Macaca fascicularis: one gene and its partner. The protein of the gene in region 1 interacts with the protein of each later gene in a pairwise test. Links are inferred from orthologs where the notes say so. Each region holds a gene or a part of one and is shown in the gene's direction. Other genes may lie near its edges.

Region 1 (3,875 bases):
TTGATGGTCAGACAAATAATCAAGAGTGGAATTTGCTTCTACGTGGGTCATCAGGATCGTATAGTAAAAATATGTCGCAGTATACTCATTGCTGACAAGTATTTCTGCCATTATCACTATGAGAAACTATTTGATCATGGAACAGTGAGGCTGAGTTCTTTCTCAGGTGCCCTTCCTGTCACTTTCTAACCTGCGCTTTGTCCCTTGTCAGGCGCCTCAACCGTGGAACGTCTGCTTTTCAGTGTGATAGTTTGGCATGAGTAATTTCATGTAGGAATTCGCCACAGGAAGAGCATGTGTGTGTGCTGTATCACCTGCTAGGTTCTATTCTTTGGCTATAGCGGGAGATTATGTGGCAGAGATTAACATGCTGAGAATTTTGAAATTCTTTTAAGACCTATCACTTTTATTTTTTATTTTTTATTTTAACTTTTAAGTTTGGGGTACATGCTTAGGTCTGTTACGTAGGTAAACTTGTGTCCTGGGGGTTTGTTGTACAGATTATTTCATCATCCAGGTACCAAGCCTAGTACCCATTCGTTATTTTTCCTGATCCTCTTCTTCCTCCTACCCTCCAGTGTGTGTTGTTCCCCTCTGTGCGTCCCTGTGTTCTCATCATTTAGCTCCCACTTATAAGTGAGAACATGAGGTATGTTGTTTTTCTGTTCCTGTGTTTGCTAAAGATAGTGGCCGCCAGCTCCATCCATGTCTCTGCAAAGGACATGATCTCATTCTGTTTTATGGCTTCATAGTATTCCATGTTGTATATGTACCACATTTTCCTGATCCAGTCCACTATTGATGGGCATTTAGGTTGATTCCATGTCTTTGCTATTGTGAATAGTGCTACAGTGAACATACACATACATGTGTCTATATAATAGAACGATTTATATTCCTTTGGGTATATACCCAGTAATGAGATTTCTGGGTTGGTATTTCCATCTTTAGGTCTTTGAGGAATCTCCACACTGCCTTCCACAATGGTTGAACTAATTTACACTCCCACCAACAGTAGGAAAACATTCCTTTCTGTCCACAACCTCACCAGCATCTGTTACTGACTTTTCCATAATAGCCTTTCTGACTGGTGTGAGATCCTGTGTCATTGTGGTTTTGATTTGCATTTCTCTAATCAGTGATGTTGAGCTTTTTTCCCCTATGACTTTTAGTAGTCACTTTTAATAGTTATCACTTCGCTAACCTTAGTCATTTTATAAATAGGGAACAACTTGAAAATAGTGAATTCTGGGGGTGGAGGACAGGTATTTCACAAGCAAAAAGTTCTGGTCCTAGCCTTAAGTGTTTGATACTGTTTAGTAATCATCTTGCAGACTTCAGGTAGTTGCGTCCAATTAAATTGAACTTGTACTTCTGTTTCCATTTGTCAATATGCCTGAATCTTGTAATTGTATGAGATTTCATCTAACCCTTATCCTAGAAAGTGAGACTTGTATCTCACTACTGTATCCATTGAGAGAGGCCACACCCTGTCCTGTGTAAGACCATTTGTAGCGTGAGGCAGACACAGACTGCGTCGTCTTTGAGGTCACTTTCACCTCCTTGAAAAATATTTAGATATTTGAGTGTATATATGTTTATAATATTATGTAGAAATGGGAAAACTTGGTCAACTGAGTGGCTAGACATAGTATTAAGAGAGACAAGTCTTTGTTAATCGTATAGGTGAATATGATATTTGAGGTAGTTACATTTTCATTCACATTTGAGAAAATTGACGTCGTCTTCAATTTAATTTTGAGGACACTATTTTTTTTTTTTTTTGAGACAGGATCTCTCTCTGTTACCCAGGCTGGAGTGCAGTGGTGCCATCATAGCTCACTGCAGCCTTGAACTGCCGGACTCGAGCAATCCTCCTGCCTCAGCCTCCCAAGTACCTGGGACTACAGGGGCATGCCACCATGCGTGGCTAATTTTTGTTTCTTTAAAATTTTTTTGGCCAGGGATGCTGGCTCACGTCTGTAATCCTAACACTTTGGGAGGCCAAAGGAAGGCCAAGGAGGATCTCTTGAGCCCAGAAATTCAAGACCAGCCTGAGCGACATAGTAAGACCTCTATCTCTACAAAAAATTAAAAATTAGTGGATATAGTGGTATGCGCTTGTAGTCCCAGCTACTGGGAAGATTGAGGTGGAAGGATCCCTTGAGCCTGGGAAGTCAAGGCTGTGGTGAGCCCTGATTGCACCACAGCATTCCAGCCTAGGTGATAGAGGGAGACTGTGTCTCAAAAAATAAAATACAATATTTTTGTAGAGACAAGGTCTTGAACTCCTGGCCTCAAGCCATCCTCCCATCTTAGCGTCCCAATGTACTGTGATTATAGGAGTGAGCTGCTGTATCTGGCCTGAAGATGCTAATTTTTAATTTGATTGGAAATTTGGGATTTAGTTCAGTTTTTTTCTCTCTTAAGTATCTTAATGTGTAATCTGTTAATTACGTACTTTTTTGTCCCCTCTGAAATACTAATTTAGGCCATGGCCCAAAAGGAAGACATGGAAGAGAGAATCACTACTCTTGAAAAACGCTACCTCGCTGCACAGCGTGAAGCCACATCTGTGCATGACCTCAATGATAAACTTGAAAATGAAATTGCAAATAAAGATTCTATGCATCGACAGGTAATGGATTTTATCGATCTTTGTCTGGCTTCAGTTAATTATTAATGAAATTAAAGACCCTTTTTCTCTCACTTTCATGTTGGAAATCAAGTCCAAATATCAAGTTTTTATGACCTTAGAATATTATGTTCAAGATATGTGGGAGTTCCTTCAGTTTACAGGTTTTGATAACGTAGGATTTGATTTAACCATTTTGTCCTCAATTTTTTCTTTTGTTGTAATTGAAAGTTAATCTATTGCTTTTTAGCATTTTTACCAAAGGAGGAGAGAGTGGCAAAGAACTTCAAGGCAACTGGCTATTTGTTACTAAGTGGGAGCACTATGATAAATGAATGGTATGAGAAATAAAGTCTTGGTCAGACGCAGTGGCTCATGCCTGTCATTCTAACACTTTGGGAAGCTGAGGCGGGAAGATCACTTGAGCCCAGGAATGTGAGAACAGTCTGGTCAACATAGCAAGACCCTGTCTCTACAGAAAATTAAAAAAATAAATAATTAGCTCGGCATGGTGGAATGTGCCTTTAGCCCTAGCTACTCAAGAGGCTAAGGAGGGAGGATGACTTGAGCCTTGGAGTTCAAGGCTTCACTGTGCTATGATTGTGCCACTGGACTCCAGCCTGGGCCACAGAACAAGACCCCGTGTCTAAAATAAAAAATGCGGCTGGGCACGGTGGCTCACGCCTGTAATCCCAGCACTTTGGGAGGCCACGGCAGGCGGATCATGAGGTCAGGAGTTTGAGACCAGCCTGACTAACATGGTGAAACCCTGTCTCTACTAAAAATAGAAAAATTAGCTGGGCATAGTGATGCACATCTGTAATCCCAGCTGCTGCTCAGGAGGCTGAGGCAGGAGAATCGCTTGAACCTGAGAGGCAGAGATTGCAGTGAGCCAAGATTGCACCACTGCACTCCAGCCTGGGCGACACAGCTAGACTCCGTCTCAAAAAAAAAAAAGGCAATGAAGTCTATAGTAAGAAATTGTGTCTCCTGTGGTTTCGTTAAACCATACTTACTCTTGTAAGAGTATCACTGTACTCCAGCCTGGGTGACAGAGCGAGACTCTGTCTTTAAACAAAAAAAAAAAGTTTCTTAGAAGTTATTTAGGAAGAGCAAATACTTTGGCAAGAGGTGTTTTGCACATTGAAACGAAGCCCAGGAAAGTGGGCATGTACTCCAGGCAACAGGAAAATTTGACCCAGGCCAGGCACAGTGGCACACACGTGTAATCCCACCACTT
Region 2 (4,654 bases), on another chromosome or scaffold:
CAGAACCTGATCCCTCAGCCCAGATCCCTGAACATCACAGCAACCTTGCCCTGCACATTACCACGTGATCCCTGAATCCAGGCACCTCAACAATGTCCAAATTTTATTTCTCACCTGACTCCAAACTCAGGTGTTATACCAGAAACACCCCGCAGAAGAAACCCCACAGAGGAGAAATGTCATCTCTTCCTCTGCTCAGTTACCTGACCCAGGGCAGCGGGGGTAGGTTCCCCCAATCTTCATGGTGAAGCCTAGCAAGCAGTGGGGGAGAATGGGGGAGTGGGGGGTGGGGGGGGCGGGGCGGTAGATAGGAAAGAACTGGTGTGGCTTTGGCTGACTCTTCAGTAGTTGTAGCATGGATTGCATGGGGGCGGGGTCTGGAGGCAGGGGCTCTTGGGTTGAAGCTCATCAAATCCCTCTCATCAGTGGGTCTTGGAATAAATCTTCAGGTAGGTTGTTGGTTTCACCCAGACATTTCTAGGGTCATCATTTGAGTTTGATATGAGAAGTCAGAAACTCAATACTGAGATTTAAATTTGACTTAGAGGGCATTATCACGTCTTTAATTCCGAGGCCAATGTAAGGTTCACAGTTGGAATTGGTATAATATTGGGGTATTAGCCAGCCTCTGCTTGGGGTTGACACTAGGTCAGAGAAGTGGAGGGTGAGCATGAGGATGAAGGGGCTTTGTGTGGGGTTTCTGCAAAGCCAGTCTCATCTTGGATTCTAAGATTATTATTAAAGCTGGGTTGGTTTAGGGTCCTAAATGGTCTCAAGGTTGGGTGGGGTTTCAGGTCAGTATCTTTGTTTGGGGGTCCTTTTCTGGTGACTCAATCCCAACTCTGGAATTGAGAATCCCAATTCAGAGTGCATTGGTGTTGATCTGGGAATGGGAGAGCAGTACTGGAGTTTTATGTAAGGCTTGGGGTTCAGAAGAGAGAGAATTGGGGTCCATAGCAAGGTAGCTTTTGGACTTTAGGGTTCATTTAGGGACTGGGGGCTGAGCATTAGCACAGGGGTCCATTTAAGGTCCAGAGTTGGTGCTAACATCACTATCAAGGTTAGGGCAGGTAGAGTAATAAAGAGGTTTAGAGTCAGAATTGGTATTTGGGATCAGTACAGAGGTTCAGAACAAAATTCCTACTTGTGCTAATTTGGGGGCAGATTAAGGGCTTTGGATTCAATATTGGGTTTAGGGCAAGGTGTAGACTCAGTATCAGGTTCAGATCTGTATGGGGAGGAAATGCGGTCCTAGAATGGTATTAGGTTCATGCTAGGACTGGGAACCACTAGAAGGATCTGGATGTAGTATCAGAGTTTGGTCTGTCCATGTTCATTATTGGGGTTCGGGTTCAACATTGAGGTTCCGGTCGGTTTCGACTTGGCGTTGAGTTGTGGCCTCTCTGGGCCTCCGCGGCTCCGCGGCTCTACGAGCGAGAGTGCACGAGGGGAGGGGCGGCGCCGGGGGCGCGCACGGCAGGGGCAGGGGCGCGGGCGCGAGCGAGAGGGGAGCGCGCGGCTGGAGCTGGCGCGGGAGCGGCGGGAGCGGTGGCGGCGGCAGAGGCGGCGGCTCCAGCTCCGGCTCCGGCTCGGGCTCCGGCTCCAGCTCGGGTGGCGGTGGCGGGAGCGGGACCAGGTGGAGGCGGCGGCGGCAGAGGAGTGGGAGCAGCGGCCCCAGCGGCTTGCGGGGGGACATGCGGACCGACGGCCCCTGGATAGGCGGTGAGTGACCCCCAGGCCCCCCGCCAGCCCCCTCCGCGCCCGTCTCTTCCCCGTACTCCTTGCCCTCCCCGCTAGTCCACCCGGCGGAGCTGGGGGCGGTCCCGGGGGGACGAGGGCGCCGCTGAGGCCGGGCCGCGCCCCCACCTGCCGCGCCCGCAGCCTCGGCGAAGCCCCCCCCACGCCCCAGCCTGGCGGCTCCTCCCCGCTCACCCCGCGGCAGACGCGCCCCCAGCGCTGCCGGCTGGCTCGCTCCCCGCCGCCCCTCGCTGCCTCCCTCCCTCTCCGCCGCACCTTAGCCGCAGCCCGCCCCCCCCTTCCCCCGCCCAGCGCAAAGTTTCCCGTTTGCGCTCTTGCTCCCCCTCATCAGTCCCGCCTCGTCCCCCCTTCTAGCGCGGACGCGCTCCGGGGGCGGCCCTCAGACCCCTCAGCCCCCGGCTCCGGGCGGGTCCAGGCCGCGCCCCCGCCCCCGCCGCACAGGCGCCCCCTCCCAGCCGACGGGGGATCCGCAGCCGGCGCGCCCGGGTCTCGCTCGCGGCCCCGGCGCACGTGCAGTCCCGGGCTGCGCCGGGCGCGAGTTTGGAGCCCCCCACCCCCTTCGTTCGCGAGCACGGGTTGGGGAGGGGCTGAACGGGTTGTGCCCGCCCCCAACCGGGTGCAACGCCCTGGAGGCCCTGGAGCGACCTGTCCCATGAGGACGTGGCCACTCGGACCCGCTCCGAAAGTTCACTCAGCGGCTGCCCCGCGTCCTGTCCCGAGCCGTGCCGGCTCCCCATCGTCGTGCCCACGTCTCTGTCTCGGCTGCTTTCTGTTTTCCTTGGCGTCTTTGCCTCCCCGTGTCAGTGCCCCTGCAATCCCAGGGTCTCTCCGGCTGTCTCCGTTCTTTTTCCCCAGATCACATTGTTCTTTCTCCCCAGGTCTCTCCGTTCTGTCTCCCTGGGTCATCTTGTTCCCTGTTCCTGAGTCTCTCTGTTCTCTCCCCTTGGGTCTCTTCTGTTTCCTCTCCCTGGGTTCTGTCTCCCTCCTTAAGTGTCTCTCTGCCTCTTGTCTCTCACGCATCTCTTGGTGTCTCTGCACCCTCTGTGCTAGGCGCCCCCCCATTTCCCTGGAATGCTGCCCCTCTGGTTCTTCCACCTCGGAGGGGGAGGGGCTAGACTTTCTCCCCATTTCAAACCCCCCTGCCCCCCAGTGCAGGGCCCCTGAGTTGGAGCAGGTTGGGGGTGGGGAGCGCTACCTGCCTGAGCTGTGAAATGGGAGAGGGAGGCTGCCCCAGCCTGCGGGTTGTCTGGATCTCCCTGAGGGGCCACAGAGCAGGGCCGGGAGGCTGCATTAGGATGAGGAAGGCTCCACTTCTGAAGGAACAAGGGCAGAGATCCAGAGCGACCTGGTGCCAGATCTGGCCTGAGAACCAGGGAAGTGCACTGGGGTGAGAGGCGTAGAAAAGGATATGGGGTGTTGGTTCCAGGCGGGTGCTCATGGGGAGAGATCTGCTGAGAAGGGAAGATCTGATGGGGGATCCTTTGGGAGGCTTCGGGGATCTGAGGGATCCAGAAGAGAGTTCTGACAGGCTATCTAAGGAAATTTCTGTGCTTAGCGCCTTATTAACTCTTGCTTCAGGGAGCATGAAAATCCCTGTTTTTTACTGATTATATGAATGAGCCTAGGGCTCCGAGAAGGAGCAGGTGTAACTCCCCAAGTACAACCCCCTACATTCTCCGCCCCAGGCACAGGCCACAGTCTCTCCTACCCTCTTGCCTTCATTTCCACACTCAGCTCACCCCCCTCCACCCCCCCACACACTCCCTGTTCAGCTGCTTTCTTGACCCCACTCACAAACCTGGACCCGCATGCCGGCCAGTGCTCAAGCAATCTGTGCCTGCACACTCGCAGCACACCTGTGCACATGCACAGTCATCCTTGTGCATTTTTGTATATGCACTTTCTTGCACATTTTACTTGCTCAGTCTCCCTCATCATTTGAAGTGTCTGTATAGTGTTGTGTGTTTTTTTTTTTTAGTTTCTTTTTCCAACTGCTCTTCCTCTTCCCTCTTTCAACAAGAAAATTGTTTTAACATAATTCCTTCCTTTTTCCCTTTCTTCCTTCCTCTTGCAACTACTGATACCTCCCCTTTATCCAGCTTTGTGTGCCCTGTGCAGGTTGGCTTGGTGTACAGGGCTGCCGAGAGAGGAGGGGGTGGTTGGGTGCTGGTGAAGAAATTTGGCGGGGCAGAGTTATAGACTGCAGCAGACGTAAACTAGCAACACATCTTTTGTAGGTAATCGTATTGATATGCAGCAAAATACCAGCCCTGGCAATTTGGGCACAGTCCACCCTTTTTTCCATCAGCCCGAACTATGGGAGTCTAGCTTTAAGGATCCTCACTGGGGGCGGGGAGGAGGGGACCCAGACCTCCTGCAATAGAGGTTGTGATACATACCACGGCTCCTCCACTTTCCAGCTTCAGGCCTCAAAGAGGCCCCTTTCTCCCTGAGTCTCAATTTCACTCCCTGTAAAATGGGGCAGCTAATCCAACCCGGACTTGGTCCCAGGGCTGTTGTAAGAATCCAAGGGAACTGTGTGGCAGTGCATCATCAGCAGTGGCAGTCACTTCCCATGTGACTGACACTGCTGTGTGCTTGGTCCAAGCTTGCAGCCAGGGCCCTGCCCTCGAGAAGCTCGTGGTCCCTGGGGGAGCAGGTTGCACCATGAGAATGCAAAAGCAATTCAGTTACCTGTTATTGATTGCTGACTGTGTGCCAGACCCCGGGGTAGGCACTTTCAGCCCCGGCTGCCTTGCTTCCTTTGGGACTAACAGCTATGTAGAAGAGGCAGCCCACGCCTAAGGTTCAGGCATCTGCTCAACTAAAGCAGCTGCAGTTCTGAGTTGAGTTAGAACATTGGAAGAGTTCATCAAGAGACAGGGGAGAGTTCAGA

Evidence for each region.
Region 2: the proteins of PPFIA1 (region 1) and PTPRF interact in a two-hybrid assay, tested with the Homo sapiens proteins (2 studies listed by BioGRID). The link is inferred for Macaca fascicularis from reciprocal best matches to the Homo sapiens genes PPFIA1 and PTPRF.

The regions. Positions count from the first base shown.
Region 1 is NC_088388.1:4,342,104-4,345,978, reverse strand, and holds part of PPFIA1 (liprin-alpha-1), read left to right. Parts: intron 1-2,491; coding exon 2,492-2,638; intron 2,639-3,875. UniProt on the Homo sapiens protein: May regulate the disassembly of focal adhesions. May localize receptor-like tyrosine phosphatases type 2A at specific sites on the plasma membrane, possibly regulating their interaction with the extracellular environment and their association with substrates.
Region 2 is NC_088375.1:191,242,165-191,246,818, reverse strand, and holds the start of PTPRF (receptor-type tyrosine-protein phosphatase F), read left to right. Parts: upstream 1-1,538; 5' UTR 1,539-1,694; coding exon of another isoform or gene 1,695-1,722; intron 1,723-4,654. UniProt on the Homo sapiens protein: Possible cell adhesion receptor. It possesses an intrinsic protein tyrosine phosphatase activity (PTPase) and dephosphorylates EPHA2 regulating its activity.